6 linked regions of the Sus scrofa genome follow. The protein of the gene in region 5 purifies or fractionates together with the protein of the main gene of each other region. This does not show direct contact. Links are inferred from orthologs where the notes say so. Each region holds a gene or a part of one and is shown on either strand. Other genes may lie near its edges. The genes, in order: TMUB1, TMEM259, RNF170, INSIG1, ERLIN2 and CANX.

Region 1 (4,246 bases), on a different chromosome or scaffold from region 5:
AGAGAAAGGAGAGAAAAACCCACGGAAAGGAATGGGCCCAGGCCAGGCTGAGGCTCGACATCCCCTACATAGCAACACTCTAAGATCTGGGTGGAAGGAGTGTTCTAATACTAAGTGAACAAATATCCACCGTGTGACAGCTCCTCTGCATAATTTTCACACTTATTTAATAAAACACCTAATTTTTCTTGCAATTGCCTTTAAAAAAATTTTTTTTGTATTTTTTATTCTTTTAGGGCCATACCTGAGGCGTATGGAGGTTCCCAGGCTAGGGATCAAATCGGAGCTGCAGCTGCTGGCCTACGCCACAGCCACAGCCACGCCAGATCAGAGCCGAGTCTGTGACCTACACCACAGCTCATGGAAACGATGGATGCTTAACCCACTGAGTGAGGCCAGGGATCAAACCTGCATCTTGATGGATACTAGCCAGATTCTTTTTTTTGTCTTTTTGCCCTTTCTAGGGCCACTCCTGTGGCATATGGAGGTTCCCAGGCTAGGGGTCGATTAGTCAGATTCTTAACCCGCTGAGCTACAACAGGAACTCCACAATTGCCTTTTGAGGTATGTGTTGGGAACAGAGAAATTTAGGTTCAAAGACATTCAGTAAAGCACCCAAGGTCACATAGTTGATAAGCACAGGATAAGGGATCAGCATTTGTGCCACGTTCCAAAGTCTATGCCTCTTGCACAGTCTTTCGGGGGAAAGGGGAGGAGGGGACCTGGTAAATAAGCAGCCCAAGCCACCGTGGCCAGCCTGGTGGGGAAGCCCATGGATACTGGGCGCTGGGCTGAAGAGTCAATTTGGAGGATCCAGGATGACTTCTGGGGTCCACTCTGACTTAAAGTTCTTGTTGTGGCTCAGCGGATTAAAAACCCGACACAGTGTGAGGATGTGGCATGGATCCCTGGCCTCACTCAGAGGGTTAAGGATCCAGCGTTGTGAGCTGTGGTGTAGGTCGCAGATGCAGCTCGTATCTGGTGTTGCTAAGGCTGTGGTGCAGCCCGGCAGGTGCAGCTCCTATTCGACCCCTAGCCTGGGAACACCCATGTGCCGCAGGTGCGGCTGTAAAAAGAAAGAAGAGTAGGCCAAGGTAGGATCCACTCGAGCTTCCCCGATGCTGCTTCTGGAAACAGTGGTGCTCTAACAAGCTCCAGCTAACGCTGGTTTCTGGAGTAACAGATGCCCCAACTGCCCCGGGCAGGGGGCTGTCCCTGCTGTCGCCCAAACCTCTACGGGAGAGCACACCCCCCAAACCCAACCCCGCCGTCCCCTCAGCAATTTGCGGGCACTGGGACGAGACAGCCGAGTCCTGCCCGTGGATCCGCAGCGCGGAAGGCGGGGACTGCGCACCGCGCTGGACTACAAGTCCCACAATACTTCGCACGGCGGGGAAGCGGAGGGTGCCTCCAGGTGTCTGCGACCTCGCCACCTCCCGCCCGGAAGTGCCCGAGGGTCCGCTATGGAGCTGGCGGAGCCGGGCGGTGAGTCCTGCGTTCTGACCGCGCCCACCCCGCCGCCCCCGCCAGCTGGCCCCCGCTCGCCCCGCCCCGGGATCGGTCTGGCACTCCCGCCGCTGGGGTTGGGGGGCGGGCGGGAAGATGGGAGGGGTGATGGAGGATGGGGGTGGGGAGGCTAAAGTCTCGGATTCCGGCGGTATCTGGGGTCCTGCTGCGGGCTAGGTTTGGAGAGGCGTCTAAGAGGAGGCGCGGAACTGGGCCGACTCGGGGTGGAGTTTGAGTGGACCGAGGGGGGCCGAGTTGCGGTGGGGAGCAGCGACCCTCGGAGATTCCAGTTTGCCAAAGGGCTCGTTTCGACGTGGGGAAGCTTTAGGAAACTGTATCGTGTTACGGGTGGGAGGTTTGGGTAAATAGTAAAGGGGCGGGGGTGTGCTGTGTGTGTGTGTGTGTGTGTGTGTGTGTGTGTGTGTGTGTGTGTGTGTTCGTGGAGGAAAGCCTTTTGTGTGTCTGTGTGTGTCTGGAGACCTTTTTCTTCCCCCTTGGAGAAACTTTAGTGATGGAGGAATAGATAAACTTTGGGATGAATTAGATGGAAAGAATAGGTAAGCTTTGGGGTGAAGTTTGATGGGGGTTGAATTTAGGGGAGAGGTTGCTTAGAAGGTCAAGGCCTGACCTCTGAGTAGGATGTGGGTGAATTGGAGAGCTGGTTAAAGACCTAGAACTTAGGTTACAAAAAATTAGGACTTGGGGTTTGGTGATGGGAAGGGGCATGTGACCCAAGTCTGGGGCAAGCAAGAGGGAGAGCAGTCTGTGTCCCAGGGTGGGGTGTGGCTAAGTGGGCAAAGGAATTGGGACTGTGGGAGAGTTGTAGTGGGGTGGGGTCGGACGCCCCTGAAGTTCAGAGGGCTCTTGGAGGCTGAGCCAGCCCCTCATGGGTTCTTTGTGCCTCTCCAGCTCGGTAGCCCAGCGGGCAAGGCAGGTGCCATGGCCCTGATTGAAGGGGTGGGTGATGAGGTGACCATCCTTTTCGCGGTGCTTGCCTGCCTTCTGGTGCTGGCTCTCGCCTGGGTCTCAACACACACTGCCGAGGGCGTGGATCCACTGTCCCAGCCATCAGGGACCCCACCATCAACACAGCCCAGCGAAGCCATGGCGGTCACTGACAGCATCAGAGGGGAGGCCCCAGGAGCTGAGACCCCGAGCCTGAGACACAGAGGTCAGGCTGCACAGCCAGAGTCTGGCATGGGGCTCCCGGCCACACCGCCACCCCAGGACTCCCCCCAAGAGCCCCTCGTGCTACGGCTGAAATTCCTCAACGATTCAGAGCAGGTGGCCAGGGCCTGGCCCCACGACACCATTGGCTCCCTGAAAAGGTAAGCTGGGAAGAGGACGGGGTTGAAGTGGTAATGAGTCGGGTGGGAATGGTCACAGCGTGGAAGGGCCACCAGAGATGCTGATGGGAACTGAGGTCCCCAAGCCACTCACACGGTATTGTTCCTCTGAAGCAGGAGAGGCCCCTGCGGAGGGAGCCCTGGGTGGTAGGTGGAGGAGAGAAGTGAGAGAGTTGTTCTGGGCGAGGGGCCAGGATTGCCTGAGACCTGCTCTATTACCCAGGTCCCTCTCTCCTCAGGACCCAGTTTCCCGGACGGGAGCAGCACGTGCGACTCATCTACCAAGGGCAGCTGCTAGGAGACGACACCCAGACCCTGGGCAGCCTTCACCTCCCTCCCAACTGCGTTCTCCACTGCCACGTGTCCACCCGGGTGGGTCCCCCACACCCACCCTGCCCACCGGGGTCAGAGCCAGGCCCCTCCGGGCTGGAGGTAGGCAGCCTCCTGCTGCCCCTGCTCCTGCTGCTGCTGCTGCTGCTCTGGTACTGCCAGATCCAGTACCGGCCCTTCTTTCCCCTGACAGCCACCCTGGGTCTGGCCGGCTTCACCCTACTCCTCAGTCTCCTGGCCTTTGCCATGTACCGCCCGTAGTGCCTCCACGGGCTCTTGGCAGTGTCGCTGGCCCCTCCGGACCTTGCTCCCCACGACACGGTGGGAGCTGCTGTCTGCCCCGGCCGGCCTCTCCCACTTGCCTCTTCCCACTACCCTGGAGCCCAGCCCTGCGCCGCAGAGCGCTCCGGGGGCCGGCGGAGGCCCCTCCCTGTGACCTTCATGGCTCTGGGCCACCTTCTGGGGCTGCTGGCCCTCAGCCCCCACGGACAGTCAGCTCCTCCGGGTCAGACAGCTGCTGTCGCTGCCTCGGCCCTGGGCAGAGCCCGGCCACGCCCCTAGGCCCTTCTTAGTGTTCTGCCTGAAAACCCAGCCACCTCTAGTCCCTGAGAGCATCTTGAGCTGATTTAGGGACCCAAGGACGGGAGCGTGGGTGGGAAGGAGGGGGTTCTCTGGAACATGTGCAGATTAAATAACTGTGAAGTTTTCACTCTTGGTGTGTGCCTGCCTGTGTGGGCCCGTGGGGCAGGGAGCTCCTGCCCACTGGGAGAAAGACGGTAGAACGCGGGATCCGCAGCCGGACGGTCCTAGGTTCCGTGCTGGGCGCTCCCACTTACCAGGCACTTCGCCCTGCCCAACCTGCCCAGGCTGGCTGCCGACTTCCCCTCTGCTTTTCGCTGCATCCTCGGCTCCTCGCCCTTGGGCTCCGCCCCGCTCCTAGTCCCGCCCCCGCCCCGGAGCCGCGCGCGCAGCTTCCCAGAAGCAGGGGGCGGGGCGCGCGGCACCCTGGCGCGCGGGGCCTGACGGGAGCCACGTCTCCGCTGGCGGAGGACCGTGCCGCGATT
Region 2 (4,225 bases), on a different chromosome or scaffold from region 5:
CTCTGGGCCAGTTTCCCTATTATGGAACAAGCTAGCAGACAAAACTTCAGTCATCGTCTGCCACAGGGAAGTCCCATCCACCCAGGCAAGGTGGGGTCTGGGGCCCACTCAGGGACCCAGCAGCCCTGCCCACTTCTCCATTCTAGGGTCTCAGGAGTCTTGTCCAGGGCCTCTCCTGGCCACCTCACTGGCCCTGGGTGCGCCAGCCCCCAGCCCCTGGCACTCCATGACCCTGTGCCCCACCTCTCTAGCCACACCGCCATGCCAGCTCCAAGGCCTTCACAGACACCATTCCTGCCGCCCACCTCCTCACAGCCTCAGGATGCCTGCCCTAACAGCTCCTGCCCTGCTGCTCTGTCACCCTCTCCTCCTGGTCAGCCCACTCATCACTGGGTCCCAGAGACTGGTGAGAGGTGGCATAGAGGGAGTGAATGGCAAAGGTGCCCTGGTCAGAGCCCCATGACCCTGTGGGTGTCCGCTCAGTGGCAGCAGGATCAGACTCCCCAGGGCCCAGAGTCCAACTGTACAGGCTCAGGCACCTCAGGCCTGCTGCCCCTGGCCTGGTACTGGGTGATCCAGCAGAGGTGGGAGCCAAGGCCAGCAGGGGTCTGCCTCAAACACAGGCCTGGACCCTACCTCTTGCTCCCCAAAGGCCCTGGACTCCAGTCCCCAGAAGCACCCGAGGTACAGCAGGGAGCTGGGCTGACTCTGCCGACAGTGAGCTCAGCAGAACAGGTGCCCCAGGAAGAGGCCAGCGTGAGGAAGTCCGACAGGGGAACTCATCTCTGCAACTCATCTCTGCAGCAAGAGCCCGGAAGCTACAAGGCAGGAAGCTACGAGGCAGAGCTTTCTGGTACTTGAGACTGCTTCAGAGATCAGTTGCCCCGACTCCACTGGAGGACACCAAAGCCACCAGGGGCCAGGCAGGTTCACAGGGAGCAAGGAACCCCTCTGGCTGCACTCTGTCCAGAGAGGAGATGCAGGGGACCAGGGACGTAGAATGGATACACACCCCACCTGCCCCAAGCCCTGCCCTGCCTGGCTCCTCAATCAGGAAGCGGTACAGGACCTGCTCTCAGAGGAGGCTGAACTTCTGGAGAGGGGGCCCACCTCACACAGGGCACACCTGGCAGGGGCTCCTCTGGGGAGAACCATCCTCCCTTTCCTAAGGAAATCACTCCATGCATGGGTTTCCCTCCATTCAAGCCATTCTTGGGTCCCAGGAGCCAGATAGAGACATCCTAACTCAGGATCCTCAGAGGCTCACTCCATGCCTCTGAAAGGGGATGACTGCCATTCTGGGGGGTGGGTGGCAGGCAGGCAGGCTCCGCACAGCCTTGTGAGGCAAAGAGCATGTGTCAGTCTCACTTTAGGCCTGGGGCTTTCAGGGTCTCCCTGGAGGCTGTGGCGGGGCTGGAACCCACACCCAGGTCTGTGGGACAGCCACACTAGCTCGCTTTGCACCACACCAACCAAGTTGACCTGGCTGGCACTCCATGTACCTTGACCGTCAGCACCAGCCTCTTTTCTGCAGATGAAGGATCCAAAACTTACTCCAATGTCAGCACTCCCACCCCAGCCTGGCAGTAACTACAGGACACCAAACGAAATGGCAACCAGGACCCTGGCACCCAGTGAGCTCCTTCTGAGTGAGACCCCTTCCTGGAGGACCCATGCAGACACCCGTCCTCCCAGAACTATCCTCCCAGCTGAAAGCTCTGCCACCAGAGGCAGGACAGGCAGTAGGTTCCCAGGAGGTCCCTCACTGTGCCACAAGCAGCGCCACCGGCTGGGACTTTGTCACTAGCCCTGGCGATGTGACCTCAGCTAGGTCACATTCCCCCGGGAGGTTCAGAGCAGGGAGAATGGGGGTGGGAACAAGCTGAAGGACCAAAGCAGAGCCCTAAGAAAAAGAGGGAGGAGCTTTCGGTGCAGTGGGAGGCCAGGGGGGTGTGTCCTGGGAAGGGGGCATTGGCGGTGGAACCTGGAATCCTCCAGGATTGGAGTTCTGGGCTGGGCCAGGCCAGACTCGGAGGATTGGGAAAGGATCATCCGGGGCTGAGAATCCCAGGCGGCAGGGCCAGGAGGTCCTGGAGCTGGACTGCCGGGCTCCAGCCTCCGGAGGTGGGGGACGCGGGGAAGGGCGAGGCCAGGGGTGGGGTGCGGCTGGAAAAGGCTGGGAGTGAGTTCCTGGAGTCGGGATCAGGAGCCACTAACCGGATGAGCCTCGGGCCTTCGCGGTTGGAAGTTTCTAGGCAGGGGGTCGGGAATGGCAGGCTTAAAGGGAAGGGTCCCAACGGGTAGGGCCGGGTCTATGCCTCCGGGTGGGAGGGGCGCGCTCCCCCCGGCGGGATCAAAAGTCGCAGATCTGAGGGAAGGGTCCGGCTACCGGTGTCAAGGGTTGGGGCTGCGGTCACCTTGAGTAACACGAAGAACTCGAAGAGACGACGGAAGGCGGGAGGGAAAAGGCGCGAGTAGGTGACAGCCATCTTGAAGAAGAGCGCGTGGAAGAGCCGGTCGCGCACGTTGATGAGAGGGTTGGGATTGAGGTTGGGGGTGCGAGGCCCGCGCGCGGGGGCCGGGCCGCCGCCACCGTTGGGCCCGGGCCCCTGTGCCCCGGGCGCCGCGTGCTCCGACATGCCGCCCAGCGTCGCGCCCTAACGGCCCGCGGGTCCCCGAGGACGCCTCCCGACTGCCATCGGCAGTCCTCGCCGCCGCCGCGCTCCTCACGGCCGTAGGGCTACAGCCGCCATCTTCCGCCTCCGTGCCCCAGCTGACGCCAGCGAGTCGCGGCGCGGGCAAGAGCGGCCTCCTTGCGCTCGCGCGGAACGCCGGGATACCGGCGGTCGGCCCGTGGCGGCCCCGCCCACCGTCCTGACGCCTGGCTCGGAACGCCTAGGGGCGGGGCTGCGTTAGTCCCCAGGTCTTTTGCATATTGCCCATGCAGCTGGAAGGCGAGCGATAAAATTAGTCAACATATAAGGATTTTGGAGGTGGTAAAATAAACGTAAGGTAAATGTGACCGGTGAAGATGTTTTCTTTGTGGCGCTCTAGAAAATTATGCTGTAGCTGCGCTTACGTTAGGTTGCCCTAACTGTAAAGTGATCGCATTGGGATCTTTAAATAATGTCCCGGGAAGTATGGCTTTTGTTTTCTTCGCTTTCGGTGGTTCCGAAAGGGTGCTTCGTAACGTTATTAGCGTGTGTGGTGTTTCCGGGCTTTACCCGGCTCTCACCTTCCAGCATTTCGTAGTGGTGGCCCAGGTTGTGTCGTTTACTGAGCGCTGTTTTCATTCTAGAGGCTGAAGCAAAGGCTTTTTTCTTTTTCACAATCCAGATCTTGCCCACTAGCGCTCTTGGCTTTGGCTTTTTGTTCTGTGACCCGGGCTGCTCAGTGGGTCCCTCTCTGCTCCCTGGCCCAAGTGATGTGTACCTGGTCCCTGAAAAAGACTCTGAAACCGAGGTAAGCATTCTTAGAGCCTCAACCATCCCCTCCTCCTGGCTGCCGCCTGGTGCCAAGCCTGGGTGGACACGTCTGGACCAAATTCTCGCTCCTTCATTCATCTTTGAAACGCCTTGGCTCCTCCTGGTAACCAAGGAAGTAATCAGTCCCAACATTCGTTGAGCACCTACTGTATGCCAGGTTCCAAAGCAAGGTATGGGTGGGCTTTCTCAGGAAGCACGGAAGGGCAGATGGAGCTGGAGACCAGGGGCTCAGGCATCCTGAGTGTCGGCCCTGGGGAAGGACTCCCAAAGCCTGCTCAGACGTTTCAGGGAAGTGGCTTACAGTACCCCAGGGCCTGCGCTGGTGCTGGGGACACAGCGGTGGCCAGTGCAGGCTGGATTCTGCCCTCACAGGGCCCAGGGACCAGCAGGAGACAGGCGGACCTCTTGAGGTGGATGTCTGGTCTGGTTCCCAATGGTGAGCACCCCACCGTGAAAGGCACAGACAGGGCTTCTGAGAAAAACCAGGCCCTGGGAGGGGGTCTCTTCTGAATTGCACTGGGGGTGGGGGCGGGGGAGGGGGAGACTTTTCAGCTGTGTCTTGGAACCTACCTGAGGGAACCTTCCAAACCTACCTGCCAGTTTAATCCCACTCCCTGGAGTGAAGACTTTCAGTTTCATAGTGCGCCCTGGCATATCAGTAGGCACTCAATCAGTGCACATGCTTGATACTCTTATGGATCACCCCCAGATCACTTGTTAATTGCAAAAGGAGAGCTAAA
Region 3 (3,500 bases), on a different chromosome or scaffold from region 5:
ATGATCGAGGCCAGGGATCGAACCCGAGTGCTACTCGAGTTCGTTACTGTTGAGTCATAATGGGAACTCCTATTTTTTTTTTTTTTGCCTTTTTTCTAGGGCCGCTCTCATGGCACATGGAGATTCCCAGGCTAGGGGTCCAATCGGAGCTGTAGCCGCTGACCTACACCACAGCCACAGCAATGCGGGATCCAAGCCGCGTCTGCAACCTACACCACAGCTCATGGCAACGCCAGATCCTCAACCACTGAGCAAGGCCAGGGATCGAACCCGAAACCCCACAGTTAGTTGGATTCGTTAAGCACTGCACCACGACAGGAATTCCAATGGGAACTCCTTAAAATGATTTTTTTTTTAAGTTCAGTGGTAGTTCTTGACTTTGAATCACTGATTTTCAGAGAAACATCCTAAGAAACCAGTAGTGGACATGTAAGAAAATTGCTGGATGAGAAAGAGAAGAGGCTCCAAACAGCTAGGGAGGACAACAGTGACTGGGTCACACTTCTCTTGTTGTTTAAACTTCTAAAAAGATCTGCACATTGCCATCCACAACAGGTGAGCCTGTATGCCTTGAAATGTCCATGACATCACAGGATGATGGACAGTGTGTACCAAGGAGCACAGGCAGTCACAACTGTTTAATACAGAAGCATTTTAACAGCATCTATTCTTGGCTGGGAGTCGTGGTATCCATCCTATCTTAAGGATGATAACCATTAATTCCACAGATGTTAAGGGCCCATTATATCCCAGGCACTGAGACTATAGTAATGACTAACCAGGGTCCCTGCCCTCATGAAGCTTGCCTCCTGAGAGAAAGGTAGTGAACAAGGCTGAGGGCAATGACAGAGACCATCCTGGTTGATCAGGGCAGCCTCTCCAAGAAAGGTCTACATAGGAACGCCCTGCAGGATGAGAAAGCCAGGAGAGGAGCAGAGGGACATGCAATCCAAGCAGAGCAAAAGGCACGCATGAGGCATGAAGGTGGGAGGCGTGGAGCATGTCCTGGGGAGGGGGAGGGGGACCGGACCGTCTTTGTAAGCTGCAGCCAAGAGTTCAGACGCTATTCCAAAAACTGGAAGCTTTAAAATACAAAAATATCATGGCCTTACTTGTGTTTTCAAAATATTACTCAGGCTGCTGTGCAGAGAAAAAAAACTCCAAGCGAAGAGGCCATTGCAAGTTGGCTAAGCAAGAGATGGTGGTGGCTGGGACTAGTTTGATGGCTATAGACACAGGACATTCTTATGAGATAAAAATGTCAGGATCCCCCCAAAAGAGAAAAGACATGATCTCTGACTTCTTCAGAGATCAGAGGAGGACATCAAAACTGAGCTGAGTGGTAAGTTCCCATCGTGGCTCAGTGGTAACAAACCCAACTAGCATCCACGTGAGGAAGCAGGTTCGATCCCTGGCCTCACTCAATGGGTTAGGGATCCAGCGTTGTTGTGAGCTGTGATGTAGGCTGCATACGAGGCTTGGATCCCTTATTGCTATGGCTGTGGTATAGGCTGGCAGTTGCAGCTTCAACTAGACCCCCAGCCTGGGAACCTCCATATGCCATGGGTGCAGTCCTAAAAAGCAAAAAAACAAAAAAAACAAAAAACAAAGAAAACCCACTAAGCTGAGTGACTGGGAACAGGGCCAGGTTGTCTGTGTTAAGCCTGAGATGCCAGGAGCATCCTGGCAAGATGGAGGCTGAGCAGGGGAACATGGGAGGCCAGAGCTTGGAGGACAGCTTAGGCTCCCCATGTGAATTTGCACTTAGTATGCTCCGGGTCTCGAAATAAATGTTCAGTCAGACACACACTTCTATAATTCTTTGTTAAATTTTGAGAAACCTGGGATGAATCAGTATAATGTGACAGAATTTTAATCTATCAAATGCCTTTTGGGGGAAGAGGAGCAATTGTAGAATTGATATATTCTTTAAAGTGGAATGCTTTTGAATAGCTGACATAGAAAACCCCCCAAACTTAGGGTTACTAAAGGGAACATTTCAAACTGGGGGCCAGGGTAAGTAAAATAAGAATAAAACACAACGGTAAAACTCCAGAAGTTCTCAGCTGTAAGTTTCTCACATGACAAACCCTATTTCAAGAATTTTACATTTCCTTCCAATTTTTTTCTATTGCTGGCATCACTTCATAAAGTTTTATAATGCCCTTTTTTCCCCTTAAGATAGAAAATTGTAGTCCTTGGGAAAGCTATAACTCAGTAAGGACAACAATGATGAAGGTACAAACTTTATGCAAGACATACAGATTTTTCAGAATCAAAGAACATCTGTCGGTAAAACCTCAGTATACAAAGGAGAAGTATCATTACATTTTAACTGTGCACCTGCTGTATCATTACTTACAGATCTGGGCTGCCCTGAGAATCTCCGATTATAATCATTAACATCCTGATGCAGTGATATTGCGTCCTGAGACTGGTCATTTTCACCAAATACTGTTAGGAGTAAAGTTACCTGCATATTACAGGGGAAAAAAAAAAAAAGAAATTGTTACACTTTTCTGTACCAGTGATTTTTTTCACTTTATTACTATTCAGTAGAATGAGAAAAGCTTCCAAATTGGTATTTTGCTCATTTCTTTTGACACAGGCACCACAGGGGAGGAAAGTAAGTTATCATTGCCTTACAAGAAAACCCAATTCAAAATATAATGTGAACTCCTGTAACGTAAAACGGGCACCTTATTTAAATATTTTCCAATCCATGACAGGGATAAAGTCAGTAGTTTTCTCTTTGGGCTAACAGATATTTAAAGATATAACAATGATGAGAAAATATTCAGGAGCAAAATGACAGAGAAATATATACCTATAACTTTGAGAGAGAAAAATTAGGGATTTCTTTTTTTTTTTTTTTTCTTTTTTTTCTTTTTTGGCCACACTCACTGCACTTGGAAGTTCCGGGGCCAGGGACTGAATCCGAGCCATAGGTTGCAGCTGAGGCAACACCAGATCATTTAACTCATCGCACTGGGCTGGGGATCAAATCTGAGCCTCTGGAGAGACCTGAGCCACTTTTTTTTTTTTTTTTTTTTTGTCTTTTTCGAGGGCCGCACCCATGGCATATGGAGGTTCCCAGGCTAGGGGTCCTATCAGATCTGTAGTTGCCGGCCTAGGCTAGAGTCACAGCAACGTGGGATCAGAGCCACGTCTGTGACCTACACCATAGCTCAAGGCAACTTCGGATCCTTAACCCACTGTGCAAGGCCAGGGATCGAACTCAAAACCTCATGGTTCCTAGTCAGATTCGTTAACCACTGAGCCACGACAGAAATTCCTGCAGTCAGATTCTCAACCCACTGCGCCATTGGTGGGAACTGCTAGGGATTTCATTTTTGATTAAAATCATGATTCCTTATCCTTGCTGGTACTTGAATGATCTTTGAATGCAACCAACCATTAATACAGAGATGATGTTATTGCAGGAACCAGCTCTCAAGCACCCATTTCTATCACAATCAAAAAGGTAATACTTGATACTG
Region 4 (4,167 bases), on a different chromosome or scaffold from region 5:
TCAAGTCAGTATAACTTAATCTTGCCCTTTAAGGTTAAAAGCTAAATAAGTGAAAATGTACTATGGAATTTCTCCCCTTATGCCCTTGACGGATGGTTTAAAAAAAAAAGTGAGTAAGGTATGAGAAGTTGTGTTTCAGATATGCCTGGAATTCCTTGAAGCTTCAATTGCAAATCAAGCCTAAACTAAAATGGTTCAGTGGTTTTAAAAATCAAGCTTTTGATTCAAAGAAACTATTGTGCCAAATGTGAATAGAAAGAGATGTTTCTCCAAAAGGATTAAGAGTAGAGCCATGAACTTAAAGGGGTTAGAAAAACAACAGTAGCCAGTGTTTCTGAGAACAAAGAGAAAAACCTTCCACTCTCTGCTTCATCACCATAGTGTCCCCGTCATGAGGCATCCTGCCTAGGACACAAGCTCCACTCCAAGCCCACTGCTTCCTTGCAGTTTGAAGTGAGCCTGCTGAGAAGACGCCCCTCTCCAGGGTGCAGGGGACACACCCAGACTCCAGGGGGCAGTATAGGCAGGGTTGCGAACGGGGACCTGTCACTCCGCTGTGCCCCTGCAGACACAGGAGCTTCACCTCTCTGATTCAGTTCTCGCCTCTGTGCAGTGGCGCTGAAGCAGAGCACTGCTGAAAGGACCAAAGGAAGCACAGCCTACGGAACAGGAGGCAGGGCGCTCGTTCCCTGGTGGCCCGTGGGGCCGACGTGGCGCTTTCACCGCTGCAGCCGGGGTTCAGTCCCTGGTCTGGGAACTGAGACCCCACATCAAGTGGCTACGCACCGCGGCCAAAAAAAGAAGAAAAAAGGAGAAAGATCAGAGCCCGCGAGGTCGGCAGTTCACAGAGGGGAGCTACAACGCGAGGCTGTCCGACGGGAGTGTCTGCTCCGTGCTTTACAGCCAGGCGGGCGGAGGCCACAGAGAGCACCCGGCAGGTGTCCATTCATCCATTAATTCGTCCACAGCAAATGCTGTGTGACCGGAAGAACTGAGTGACCTTCTGAGCCATTTTTATAAAACCAAATAACTGAGCAACCAAATAACTGAGCAACTCTACTCCAAACAGCCAGTCCACCTGTCCACAGCAGACTGCTGCCCCGGGGTCACGACTGGGTCTGGCCAGGGTGGCTCCTGTCCAAACTCTAAACAGAGACTTCCTTTTCCTTCATCCCAGAGCCCAGCGGTGGGGGCAAGGCCAGGCTCTGGCCACGTTCACTGGGCTGTTCCAAAAAAGGAAGAGCAGGAGGCCGCTGGGCTGGGGCAGCAGCTCTGCCCACTGGGCCCACGTGACGGTTTGTTTTCAGTTACCGGGCCGGTAGCGTGTTCCCCGGGGCAGCCAATGGCACTCCAGCCCCGCCGCTCACCAGTCCTGCCCGCGGCCAATCCGGGCAGCTGGTTAGGATGACAGCTGCGGGGCTCCCCCAGCACTGGCCTCAGGGCCGGGTCAGGAAGAGGGAAGGACCTGGCCAGCCTGGCACGAGCGGGCGAGAAGCAGCCAGTGGCCTCCCCGCCATCTCCACCACCGGGCCTCCTCCAGCCTCCAAGCCCCCTCCCCAAACACAGTCGCTGGGATGCACAGTCTCCTCTGTGGATGGTTCCATTTTCACACAAATGGTTCCCACAGGCTGAAAACCGCTTTTCACCAGACAGACGTCGTTTGTTTCTACTCACCAGCGGCCGTCCCACAGCAGGGAGGGACCCACCAGGCTGAGGAGAAGATGGTGGCAATAACCTCCTCGGGGAACAGGGTGACATTCCTCTGGACCTGCAGCAGGTTCAGCACCAGGGCCAGCACGACCCCCACCGAGAACAGCACCAGGCTCCTCTGCAGCAGGTGGTGATGCCAGCTGTTGGTGTGGCCGCTGCCACCATGGCTCCCCATGCCAGTGCTCTGAGGCGCATGAGAGGGGTCAGGGCCCTGGGCACCGTGGGCCACCAGCAGAGAGGGGCCTGACACAGAGGAGCTGATCATCTCCCCCACTTTGGCCTCCTGCCCTCTGGCACTGGCCCTGGGGTGGCCTCTGTGGTTCGTGCCCTTAACACAGGGACAGCTCCAGAGGTGGTCGTCCAGTCTGGGCATCAGCCACACCTGACAGGCTTTCCTAGAAGGAAAACGGGGGTGGGGAGAGGGAATCCCGATCAAGTTCACTTCCAAGGGACAGGGCAGGTTCAGAGAGGCCCAGAGACATGGCTCTGGGCACGTTCACTGGCCAGGAAAACCCCCGAGTCTCAGGGAGTCAGCCGCACAGGGTAGCCCACGGGCAAGTACTGCGGGGGAGGGGCTGCAAGGACCCTGTCCACACCCGGGCCCTGGGTGATGCACAGGCTGCAGCCACAGCCAGGTGTTAGCTACACCTGGGTGATCCCGCTGCAGTACCTCCTTGTATGAGCCCTGAAGTTCTGGGCCGTACAGTCCAAAAGTTTTTCAGAATCCGCCCGTCTGCAGGAGGCAGAGGCCAGCCAGCGGCAGGCCGCCCCAGGACAAGTTGCTGGGGTCGTCCCGGACGGAGAACAGCCCTGGCAGAGCCCACCTGATGTCGGGGATGCAGTCCCCCACCCCGCGGCTGGGGCTGGAGTCAGGGTGCGCACCCAGGCCCGAGGGTGGGTGCTGAGGACCCCAATGGAAGGCCGTCTAGAGGGGCGGCTGCCGGGACCTCGACATCCCCGTCCCCAGGGCTCCCCACCGCTCCCGGCCCAGTTTCCCTTGCCGCACCCTCGTACCTGGCCAAGGGCGCCCGCCCGCGGGCTCGCCGGGGGAGGAGGTCGCCGAGGAGAGTCGCGGCCCAGAACGCCTGGAGTTGAGCCCGCGGCCGTCCACGCGCGGCGCAGCTTATAAGGCGGGCGGTGATACCGCTGCTCACGTGACCCCGGCCGGGCCCGCCACCCCGCCCGCGCTCTCGGGGCGTGGCCCATGCGCGCCCCGCCCCGGCCGCGCGCACGGCCGCTCACGGTCTGGTGAGGCGGCCGCGGCCAATCGTGGGCGGGCGGCCCATATGACGTCATCACACGCCACCGCCGCCCCGAGCTCGGCGCACTGGCTCGGGAGCGCGGACGGCCGGCGGCGGACTGGCTGTTCCCGGCCCGGGACGGGGGCTGGAACTGGGCGCGGCCGGACGGGGCGGGGGCGGGGGCCGCACCGACGGCAGGCAGGGGTCGGCCGAGAGCATCCGGGGCCCCGGGTGGGAGGCGCCCCGCGCAGGTTCCCGGCGGACCGCGGAGAGAGGGCGATTTCCAGGGATTGGCAGCCGCGGGCCTGGAGTCCGGCGGCTGAACAGCTAGGTCGCCGGACCCTCACCCAGGCGTGGCGGTTGGCAAGCCTCTCCCCTGCGGCCGCTCCACTTGGTCACTCTGCAGCCGCCTGTGCCCTGAAGATGCTCTGACCTCTGGTCCTTGTCAGCTCTCTCAGTGGTGGCCGCACCTGCTCATGCAAAGCGGGTTCGTGTGCGCAGCGACCAGCAGGTGCTGGCAGGGAGCGAGGGCTCGGAGACGAGAGCTGTGTATGCTGCGTGCAAGGATCTAGGTGTTGTTAAGGGTGCTTTTATGTTTTTCTGCCACCAGCGTGGTTCAGAAAACTTTTCTGACATAAAATACTTACGAAAATGTAAATGATGAAATCGTCATTCATAAAATCGTTTCTTCTCGTTTCGAATTGTCTTTCAGTGGGAAACAAACCATCAGAACCACTTAGAAAAAATAGAACGCTGTTTTATCTTGTTGATGTAATGTATTTATATCCTGTTTGCCCCATGGTCACACCATCTAAATAGCAGGGCAGGCCCTGTGCCACCTGGAAACCCACATTTTGTTGAGCAAGATACTTAAGATGTCCTGGAAAGACAGTAGAGCAAGTGTGCGGCCTTTTCTCTCTGCAGGTGAGAGGAAGTCTGTGCTCTAATAGGGTCAAGAGAGCTCACAGGCTTAGGCGGTGTCAAGTACTGCATTGTGTGGCATCGTACCTCAGGGTTTGTGGTTTTTATGGCAGAAGGTTGGAAAAAACCTTCCTGAGGTATCAACATTTCTCAGACTTCATTTTTAGGGGCTGATGGGGTGGGAATTCACATGAATTTGTGATGGCCATCAGGAGACTACAAAGAAAAGCCATGCCTGCAGTGGATGGCTCACTCTCCTGGCCCCCAAGGGTGATCCGTTAGGTGACTGGTCAGG
Region 5 (4,121 bases):
GAGGATCAATCTGGAAATTGGTCAAGTGTGTATCGGCCGGGAGGTGAGGGTGGGGTGCCAGAAGTGCAGGAACAGGAGAGGAGAGACCCTCATTTATGAAGGTGGGCACAGAACTCTCAGGAAGTGCCTTGCGGCCCACTTATGGGCTTAACAAATAAGGAAACTTCTCAACACATACTCACCCAGAGCAAACTCCCAGGGGTGAGGGGTGGTGGGGGCTGGAAATAGGCCAGCCCCAAGCAACAATGGCTGGAAAACCTACACTTTCCTTTTCCTGTGTCCTAAATCTGACCAACACCACCAGGGTGCCATTTTCCCTGTGTAAAAGCTTTCCCTGTAACCAAGGCTGTAATTAAGTGGACTGTCTCTTCGAAAAAACTTCAGTGGCTGAATTAAAAATGCCCCAATGTTATGCTGTCGACCAGTGAAGGCTGCGGTCTGGGAGACACAAGGTCTGGACGCTGGGCCTGGTTCCACTGCGCTGCAGTCTGGGTTTTTTGGTTGTTTTGTTTGTTTGTTTGTTTTTGCCAGGCACCTAAACGCCCACCCAGGGATGCTGAGGGAAGACGCAGCCCCAGCCCACAGGGAACTTAGAGCCTAGCGAGCAGGTACGGACAAGCAGCAGAAGTTACCAGGCCCTTAAGCTCCCGACGTTAGAGCAAAGCAGGCTTTCATCCACGGCTATCCTCGCGCCTCACTGAACCTACATTTTGTTCACTAAAATTAAGATAATTCCCTCAATCTGCTTTATGGTGCTGCGGGGACCTCAAAGGCCAAAGCTCCTACAAAAGCATAAAGGGCAATTCAAAGTAGTGTCTGTTGATTAGCGACGTAATGGTGCTTATCTGCACTTTTGAAAAAGGGGAGCAGAGAATTAGGAAGGTTGTAAAGGATAACCTGCTCTGAAAAAATAGGAACAGGTTTGGCCTAATCTGGAAGGGAATCCAGAGCAAACTCCAAAGTCAAAGCCTGGGAAAGTGACACCTCGTTCTCAGCTCCCGCAGCCACTGGTGCTGCCCCTGGGGTCACTCTCCAGGTGCCCGCACCACCCCCACCCCAGAAATTCCTGACGGTCGTCTTGACCGCCGGGACCGAGTCACGGGCGCCCTCTGGCGGCAATCCTCGGACAACGACCTCTCGAAGCGCGGGGGCGGGGCTGGCGAACTAGGGAGAGAAGGGGTGTGGTCTTCTCGCGTGAACTAATGGCGTCATCGAAGCGACGGGCCCGGAAGGAAGTAGCGCGCTGAGGGGTGTGGCGGCTTCTGCGGTTGCACTGGGGTTCGGACGAGTACGGAGCGCCTGGAGGGACAGCCTGGTACGCGGCCCCCGCCTCTTAGTGCGCGCGCTGGGCCTCCTTGCGGCTCGCGGCCGGAGCTGATCATCGTTTTCCCAGGCCCTCGCACAGCATCCTCTCTCCCTTGGGAGCGAGAAAGCAACCCCTTTCTGTCCCCTCCATTTCCCGCGAGCCCCTAGGCGGGACGGAGCGGAGGCTCTCGGAGCCTCCAGCCCCGACCCAGGGCTCTTGGGACTTGCGACCCTCTCTCCAAAAAGGGCAGGGAAGGAGCGCGAGGTGGGGCGGGGGTGACTTCGGGGGAGGGAAGGGCTTTTGTAGAAAGGACGCAGCTGCAGATCGGTAGCTGGAGGCCACACGGTAAAATAAGCGCCTCGCAGACGTCTGCGCCCGAGTTAAGTTAGACCCAGGAGGCAGAGTCCACGCCCTGCGCGGGTGGGCCCCGGCACCCCGATTGGGAACCTCGCTGTCAGTTACCCTAGTTTTTGCAGATCGTTCAGTGTTCAGGAAATGAGTCCCTGGATGCCAGCTCTTTCGCGTCCTGGTGTCTGAATGCAGTTGGACGCCGGAGCCCAGAGTCTCCCCAGCCTGAAGAACCCGCTTTCTGCTCTCACCATGAGCTTGCGGAACCTGCCAGGTGCAAAGCACCGGTCAAGCATATGGGAGGGAGTGTGGCTTCAGTCTTGCTCAGAGCCCTGCATTGTTTAGGGCCAAAGGAATAACTGGGAAAGTGAATGAAAGGCCAGAGAATCCCGCCATGGAACTCCGCTCGTATGCTGTCTCTGTCGCTCCAGCATCTGAAAGGAGTAAATAATGGTTTCCTTTGAAATGGCAGGCAATTAGGACTGGGAGTCTCTGACCAGAATTACACAGCCACAACTGCCTGTCATTTGACATGCTCTGTAATTTGGGCCAACGTACTGCAGCTGCTTCTCTTCCTCTTTTACTAGTATGAGTGGCTCCGGTGACAGCCCCTTCGTGTTCACAGGAAGAGAAGGCTGTGTTCTGAACGCTGACCAACTTGCACTGGTTTTCCCTTGGGCCAGGGCTGTTTCTGGAGTCACTGCCTCTTCCAGGAGGTGGGGAATATCATTCCACAGTTAAGGAATGGATGGGAGTGTCGACTGAGAGCAGGGATGAGGAGAGGTGTAGATCTAGCCTCTGTTCATACTACTATGGGCTGGATGGGAACCACTTTCAAGCGCCCAGCCTGGAGAGGTGCTCTCAGGGTCAGAGCTTTTCTCCCTCAAGTCGGACGGCACACGTTTTCCCGTTCTTTTTCCCCAGGATAAACTTTCACTGATGGCTCAGTTGGGAGCAGTTGTGGCTGTGGCTGCCAGTTTCTTTTGTGCATCTCTCTTCTCAGCCGTGCACAAGATAGAAGAGGGGCATATTGGGGTGTATTACAGGTAAGGCAGCAGCAGGCGCAATTTCCTGTTAAATGACTCTTCCCAAGTCAATGTTTAACAGATTCTGCTATCTCTGTTTGTATTTTGTTGAATAGGGGAGGATTTTAGAATGAGCTTTTGTGTCAGTGGCCATGGGGAGGGAAGTAACACACACACAAATACATACATGAAAGTAAAACTTAGTGGTCTAAGTTGATGCCATGGATGGTGATTGATAAACATTTATAGAGACTTAGAGATAAAACCTAAAGGCAAGCAGGTTCCTTGAAGATCATCTGAAACAGTGTTTGCTCCTACTTCTCTCTAGGCATCTTGGTGCCACAAGCTTACCTCTAATGAGGACCAGTTCTTGATGTAATTTAGACCTATTCTTGAAAATTGACATTTCAGGAAAAATGAAAGAGACTGCAGGTTGATTCACATCCATCAAGGCAAACTCTAGGTTCTTACAGTAACCCATTATGGTCACTTTATTTCATTACTCTTTTAAAAAAAAATGTATCTTTATTGGAGTTTCCATTGTGGCTTACTGGGTTAAGGACCCAACATAGTCTCCAGGAGGGTATGTGTTCGATCCCTGGCCTCACTCAGTGGATTAAGTATCCTATGTTGCCATAAGCTGTGGTGTAGGTCACAGATATGGCTTAGATCCAGCATTGCTGTGGCTGTGACATAGGCCATCAGCTACAGCTCTGATTGGAACCCCAGTCCAAGAACTTCCATAGGCTGCAGGTGCAGCAATAAAAAGGAAAAAAATACATCTTTGCCTTAATAAAGAGGCATTTATAAATCTTGAGTTGCTTTCCTTTTAGTAACCTCCCTAACCAAGTATTTTGCTTTAAGTCTTTACCAAACCCTTCTTATTTGTGCCCTGTGATGCTTTTTTTCTGGATGCCAATGGCAAGTTCTAAACGTCCGATTGGGTTCCCCTCTCCCCTTTATTTCTTCCTGTCTCTGATTCTACATCCCCAAATACTGCTTTTAAATTTACTGCCATTTACATAGAACTTGATTAGAAAAGTAATTCTACTGCCAAAAAAATATGTTGATGGTTTATAAAGTGTACTTAAATTTTATTCTTTTGGTTGTTCGTGTCCCTGGACTCAAACATTAGTACCATCAACTGATCACCATATTACTGGATTTAACACCCTTACGGATCACCACCAGCTCAACAGATGCGGCAAGATAAGACAGACCTCCTCTCCTGTCTTAAGTATAGCCATGGATTCTGCTCTCTTGATTCCACTTTGCCTATTTTTTTCACTGCAAAAACACAAATAATGGTTTTAGGTTTTACCATTGGGTTTCCTAGAATATTGGGGTCGAGCTGAGAGCGGGGAAAAGGAACTGTGGACCTGACTCTAGCACGTGTCAGTCTAATAGATGTTTACAGTGCTTCCGAGAAAGCAGTGTTGATG
Region 6 (4,013 bases), on a different chromosome or scaffold from region 5:
AGGCCAGGGATTGAATCCGCATCCTCACAGACACTATGTTAGGTTCTTAATTCACTAAGCCACAATAGTAACTCCTGGAGGATCTTATTCATGAAATCCGTACTGTTGGAAAATGCTTCAAAGAAGCAAACAACATCCTGTGGCCCTTCAAACTATCTTCTCCTGAAGGGCCCAGATAAATAGATCTAACAGGCTTATTAAATGGATGAACTGAGTTGTCTATGTGATTATTTTTGTAATCTGGGTCAGTAAATAAAGTGACTTCAAATTGTGAAAAAAACAAACACAAAATTCATTCTTCAGAGATTTGGCCTCAGCTTCCTTTTAAGAACATTGTGCTTTAACGGAAAAAAAATCTCTAACAAGATCCTTAGTAGGATCTACAGTCCTGCTCTGTCTCAGGCCCAGAAAACTGAAGATGTGCTAAAAGTTAGTTACAAAATCTGTGGTGTGTTTGAAAATTTTCCATTGCACCATCTTTTTCTCACTCACTGCTGTTAAGTGTGATTGTGCCCTTTTTGTCTTATCTTGCTTTTGGAAACATCACAAATTGAAAGTTGAAGTAACGCTGGATTATAGTATTCTGGGCTATATTTTGACGTTGGGTGATAAGGCGGCCTCAGACTGCTGGGCCCAGAGCAATGACTCTGCAGGAACGGTGGCGCCTGGTGTACAGCGACTCCAGGACAGGCCAAGGGAGCCGTGACTGATTCCATCATATCTGCGCACTCGCTGCACTGGAAACCAGGTCCTTCCCGATGGCTCAATGGACCTCCCACCCATCCTGCCAGCTTCCATTTGCTCTCTCATCGAAGGGAATGAGATGCCAGACCCCGAGGCCCGGGTCCAGGCACCTGAACGGTCGAAACCATAGAAATTAGGATGCAGTGCCGGGCAGCGCGCCCACTAAGGCACCAGAACAACCAGCGCGGGAACGCCTGCCTGGCCAGTCCCGCCCCACGACGCGCGCGCGCGCGCGCGCGCCCCCGCCGATCCCGATGCCGCCGTACACCGCCTCCTTCCATACTGCCCAACCAACAGCCACTTCCTGCCTCACTCCTAACCAATCCCCACACTCCACGAAGAATAGCCCTAGGGGGCGTATGGGAAGGTGCATAGAGCGATGGCCACAATAACCAATTGAATTCAGGATCTTGCGCGAGAGGGCGGGACTTGGCGCTGGTGGTAGCTACTGAGGAGACAGGGGCGGACGCAGGGCCGGGCTTCGTGCGGTGGGGCTCGCTCGCGCGGCGGCTGCAGGAGTCGAGGCCTCTTGGTTCTGCGGCACGTGACGGTCAGGCTCCCTCAGCCGCTGTCTCCACTGCAGCGTGGGGCCAGGTGTGCGGGCGGGAGGAGGCGCGGGCACCACCGGCGGTCCTCCTGAGGCTTGAGGTGAGACAGGGGCCTGCCCGTGTCTTCGGGCCTGTGAGGACCCTCGGGGGCCTGGGTGCGCGGCCTGGCGGCGGAGGTCTCGAGAAGCCGGGCGTGGCCGGGGCTGAGGGGTCCGGCTGAGTTTCGATGGCTCAGGCCCTGGTGGACCCGCCAGACGGGATGGGTTAGGCCTGAACCTGGGCCGCTTGAGTTGCGGAGCCAGGCCCAGGCCGCGCCGCCGGGGTTGGGAGGCGTGGCAGGTGTCCTAGAGCCTTTCTTGACCTCTGGGAAAGCTAACTTCTCTTCATGGTTCTGCTTCTAGGGCTTTCTTATACCTATTGCTGACTGCCTGGGAAGCTGTGAGGTGGGGTAGAGTAACCGGGTAAAGGTCTGGAATAGGATCGGGCCTTGTTGGTACTCTTAGTAGTGGGGAAAGGTGATAATAGGACAGAGAGAGGATATTTAGAATTAGCATTACAGATCTAAAATTTGAAAATTAAAACCGCAAAGTGAAGACTGGACTGTAGCAGCCTGAAGAGTATGGAGAATGTGCTAGAACACGCACTGGTTAAAAAACTTAAGTCCTAACATTTACATCTATTTGGAGATTGGGGGAGTAAGTAATCTCGTCGTAAATTCAGTGGGCTTTTAAAAGCAGGAAAGCACCCAAAAGCTCTCCGTGGGCAGGTCGTTTTATAGTGAAGGAAACTGAGGCCCAGAGCTCAGAAATGATCGGCCCAAGGTCATGCGATTAGTTTTATGATCACGTTGGAATTACAGTTGAAAGCTAGGCAGTTTGTGTGTAGTGGTTAAGACTAAGGCCCTTGTTCAGGTCCTTCATCAGCCATTTGTTGCTATGTGAACCTGGGCAGTTCACTTCGTTTCAGATAATGGATGTAATACCTGATAGAGTTGTTGTTACCATTAAGACGTGTGTAAGAAAGAGCAGGAAAGTTAGATGTACATTTTTAACTGCTTGATAAATGACTGCAGTAAATTATTATGGTGAATGCTGTTGATCCACTACACTAACATCCTAATTAGCTAAGTCCTATTTTCCAGGACCTGAAGTCACATTTATGGAAATAGGAGGAAGAAACTGGACCTAGTGGTTTGACTGCTGATTGAGGGAAGTTAAACTGAGCTGGATATTAATTAAAAGCTTGGGAGGAGAAAGGTGAACCACAGTTAGGTCTCTTTACCTCTAATTTAAGAAATAGAACCTTTTACTTAATTTCTTAATGGGTAGAATGGTGTGGGGAGGTTTTCGTTCTGTTTTGTTTTGTTTTAAGAGGGGAACCCCGTTGATCTTCAAGACTGTTGTGTACCTCACTCTTTTTTCAGTACTGTTGAAGGGTCACTGCTGAGTTGTATATTTGCTGTAGTTAGAGCAGAGGTAAAGCACTGTGTGGGAGTCCTCCTGTGCACCAGTCTGTGTGCACAAGCAAACAAGCCAGGAAACTGGATCATGAGGTGGCTACAGTGAGCTGTGTATTGGAGTAAATGTGTTGCACCGCAGATTTTCTGACCTATCCGATAATGGGTGTCAGCATCCCTTCCTACTTGACTATCTCTCCTTAACAGTTTCAGCTAACACATTATCTTCCAAAGAGTAAACGTTTTGACAGAAGTTGTTGCTGCAGTTTTGGCAATCCTGCTATTGCATCCTTTCAGTTACAGAGTTCACTTTGCCCTGAGAGATAGCTTAAGGGAACGAAGCGACAGTTGGTAAGCATAAATGCAGACTCAAGAGACTTGAATTCCAGGCCCAGCATGGTAACTAGCTTATGAGCTAAGTTGGTTTCTATGTCTTTAAAATTGGAGTGAGGAATCCTCTGACTACCTACCTTACCATTAGGGGGCTTTTTAGGAGGGACAAGTAAGATGGTGAACATGAAACTACTTTGTTTTTTTTTTGTTTGTTTTGTTTTTTGTCTTTTTGCTATTTCTTTGGGCCACTCCCTCGGCATATGGAGGTTCCCAGGCTAGGGGTCTAATCAGAGCTGTAGCCACTGGCCTACGCCAGAGCCACAGCAATGCGGGGCAACGCGGGATCTGAGCCGCGTCTGCAACCTACACCACAGCTCACGGCAACGCCGGATCGTTAACCCACTGAGCAAGGCCAGGGACCGAACCCGCAACCTCATGGTTCCTAGTCGGATTCATTAACCACTGCGCCACGACGGGAACTCCCATGAAACTACTTTGAATGGAATAATGAACTGAACTGTGCAAAGAAGAGCTGGCAGCTCATAACAACTCCTAGAAAATAATAAAAGTGCCTGAACATAGTTATAACCTGTAGACTTACTGTAGAATTGCAGGAAGGTACAGGTTGAATATTTTGTTGCCTAAAACAGATGTACATTTAAATTAATCTTAGCTATGAGCTGTGAAAATTATTTGGAGAATTATGCTTTTTAGAGGATTTAGAATCTTCAGCAGCGTTTGAGTAGCCACCTCTTAAACCTTCTTACTTTATAGGAAAAAACCGCTATGGAAAAATAGATTTTAATGTTCCTGTCAGTGAAAAGCAAACTTCAAAACAGTAAACTAGGAAACTAGGCAGTATATATCTATTTTCAAGTAGATGGGCATTTACAATAAAGACCACTTTGAATTTTATGTACTTTCCCCCCTTT

The links.
Region 1: the proteins of ERLIN2 (region 5) and TMUB1 purify together in Homo sapiens (affinity purification with mass spectrometry; 4 studies listed by BioGRID and IntAct, with this or other methods). This does not show direct contact. The link is inferred for Sus scrofa from reciprocal best matches to the Homo sapiens genes ERLIN2 and TMUB1.
Region 2: the proteins of ERLIN2 (region 5) and TMEM259 purify together in Homo sapiens (affinity purification with mass spectrometry; 3 studies listed by BioGRID and IntAct, with this or other methods). This does not show direct contact. The link is inferred for Sus scrofa from reciprocal best matches to the Homo sapiens genes ERLIN2 and TMEM259.
Region 3: the proteins of ERLIN2 (region 5) and RNF170 purify together in Homo sapiens (affinity purification with mass spectrometry; 4 studies listed by BioGRID and IntAct, counting the BioPlex papers as one, with this or other methods). This does not show direct contact. The link is inferred for Sus scrofa from reciprocal best matches to the Homo sapiens genes ERLIN2 and RNF170.
Region 4: the proteins of ERLIN2 (region 5) and INSIG1 purify together in Homo sapiens (affinity purification with western blotting; 4 studies listed by BioGRID and IntAct, with this or other methods). This does not show direct contact. The link is inferred for Sus scrofa from reciprocal best matches to the Homo sapiens genes ERLIN2 and INSIG1.
Region 6: the proteins of ERLIN2 (region 5) and CANX purify together in Homo sapiens (affinity purification with mass spectrometry; 4 studies listed by BioGRID and IntAct, with this or other methods). This does not show direct contact. The link is inferred for Sus scrofa from reciprocal best matches to the Homo sapiens genes ERLIN2 and CANX.

The regions. Positions count from the first base shown.
Region 1 is NC_010460.4:6,141,005-6,145,250, forward strand, and holds TMUB1 (transmembrane and ubiquitin-like domain-containing protein 1), read left to right. Parts: upstream 1-1,446; 5' UTR 1,447-1,485; intron 1,486-2,415; 5' UTR 2,416-2,445; coding exon 2,446-2,834; intron 2,835-3,091; coding exon 3,092-3,443; 3' UTR 3,444-3,891; downstream 3,892-4,246. UniProt on the Homo sapiens protein: Involved in sterol-regulated ubiquitination and degradation of HMG-CoA reductase HMGCR. Involved in positive regulation of AMPA-selective glutamate receptor GRIA2 recycling to the cell surface.
Region 2 is NC_010444.4:77,392,216-77,396,440, reverse strand, and holds the start of TMEM259 (membralin), read right to left. Parts: upstream 2,801-4,225; 5' UTR 2,640-2,800; coding exon 2,418-2,639; intron 1-2,417. UniProt on the Homo sapiens protein: May have a role in the ERAD pathway required for clearance of misfolded proteins in the endoplasmic reticulum (ER). Promotes survival of motor neurons, probably by protecting against ER stress.
Region 3 is NC_010459.5:11,783,421-11,786,920, forward strand, and holds part of RNF170 (E3 ubiquitin-protein ligase RNF170), read right to left. Parts: intron 2,474-3,500; coding exon 2,363-2,473; intron 1-2,362. UniProt on the Homo sapiens protein: E3 ubiquitin-protein ligase that plays an essential role in stimulus-induced inositol 1,4,5-trisphosphate receptor type 1 (ITPR1) ubiquitination and degradation via the endoplasmic reticulum-associated degradation (ERAD) pathway.
Region 4 is NC_010460.4:2,895,959-2,900,125, forward strand, and holds the start of INSIG1 (insulin-induced gene 1 protein), read right to left. Parts: upstream 2,801-4,167; 5' UTR 2,725-2,800; intron 2,106-2,724; 5' UTR 2,084-2,105; coding exon 1,675-2,083; intron 1-1,674. UniProt on the Homo sapiens protein: Oxysterol-binding protein that mediates feedback control of cholesterol synthesis by controlling both endoplasmic reticulum to Golgi transport of SCAP and degradation of HMGCR.
Region 5 is NC_010457.5:48,659,721-48,663,841, reverse strand, and holds the start of ERLIN2 (erlin-2), read left to right. Parts: upstream 1-1,321; 5' UTR 1,322-2,025; coding exon 2,026-2,097; exon of another isoform or gene 2,098-2,578; coding exon 2,579-2,700; intron 2,701-4,121. UniProt on the Homo sapiens protein: Component of the ERLIN1/ERLIN2 complex which mediates the endoplasmic reticulum-associated degradation (ERAD) of inositol 1,4,5-trisphosphate receptors (IP3Rs) such as ITPR1.
Region 6 is NC_010444.4:78,913,025-78,917,037, reverse strand, and holds the start of CANX (calnexin), read left to right. Parts: upstream 1-1,213; 5' UTR 1,214-1,392; intron 1,393-4,013. UniProt on the Homo sapiens protein: Calcium-binding protein that interacts with newly synthesized monoglucosylated glycoproteins in the endoplasmic reticulum. It may act in assisting protein assembly and/or in the retention within the ER of unassembled protein subunits.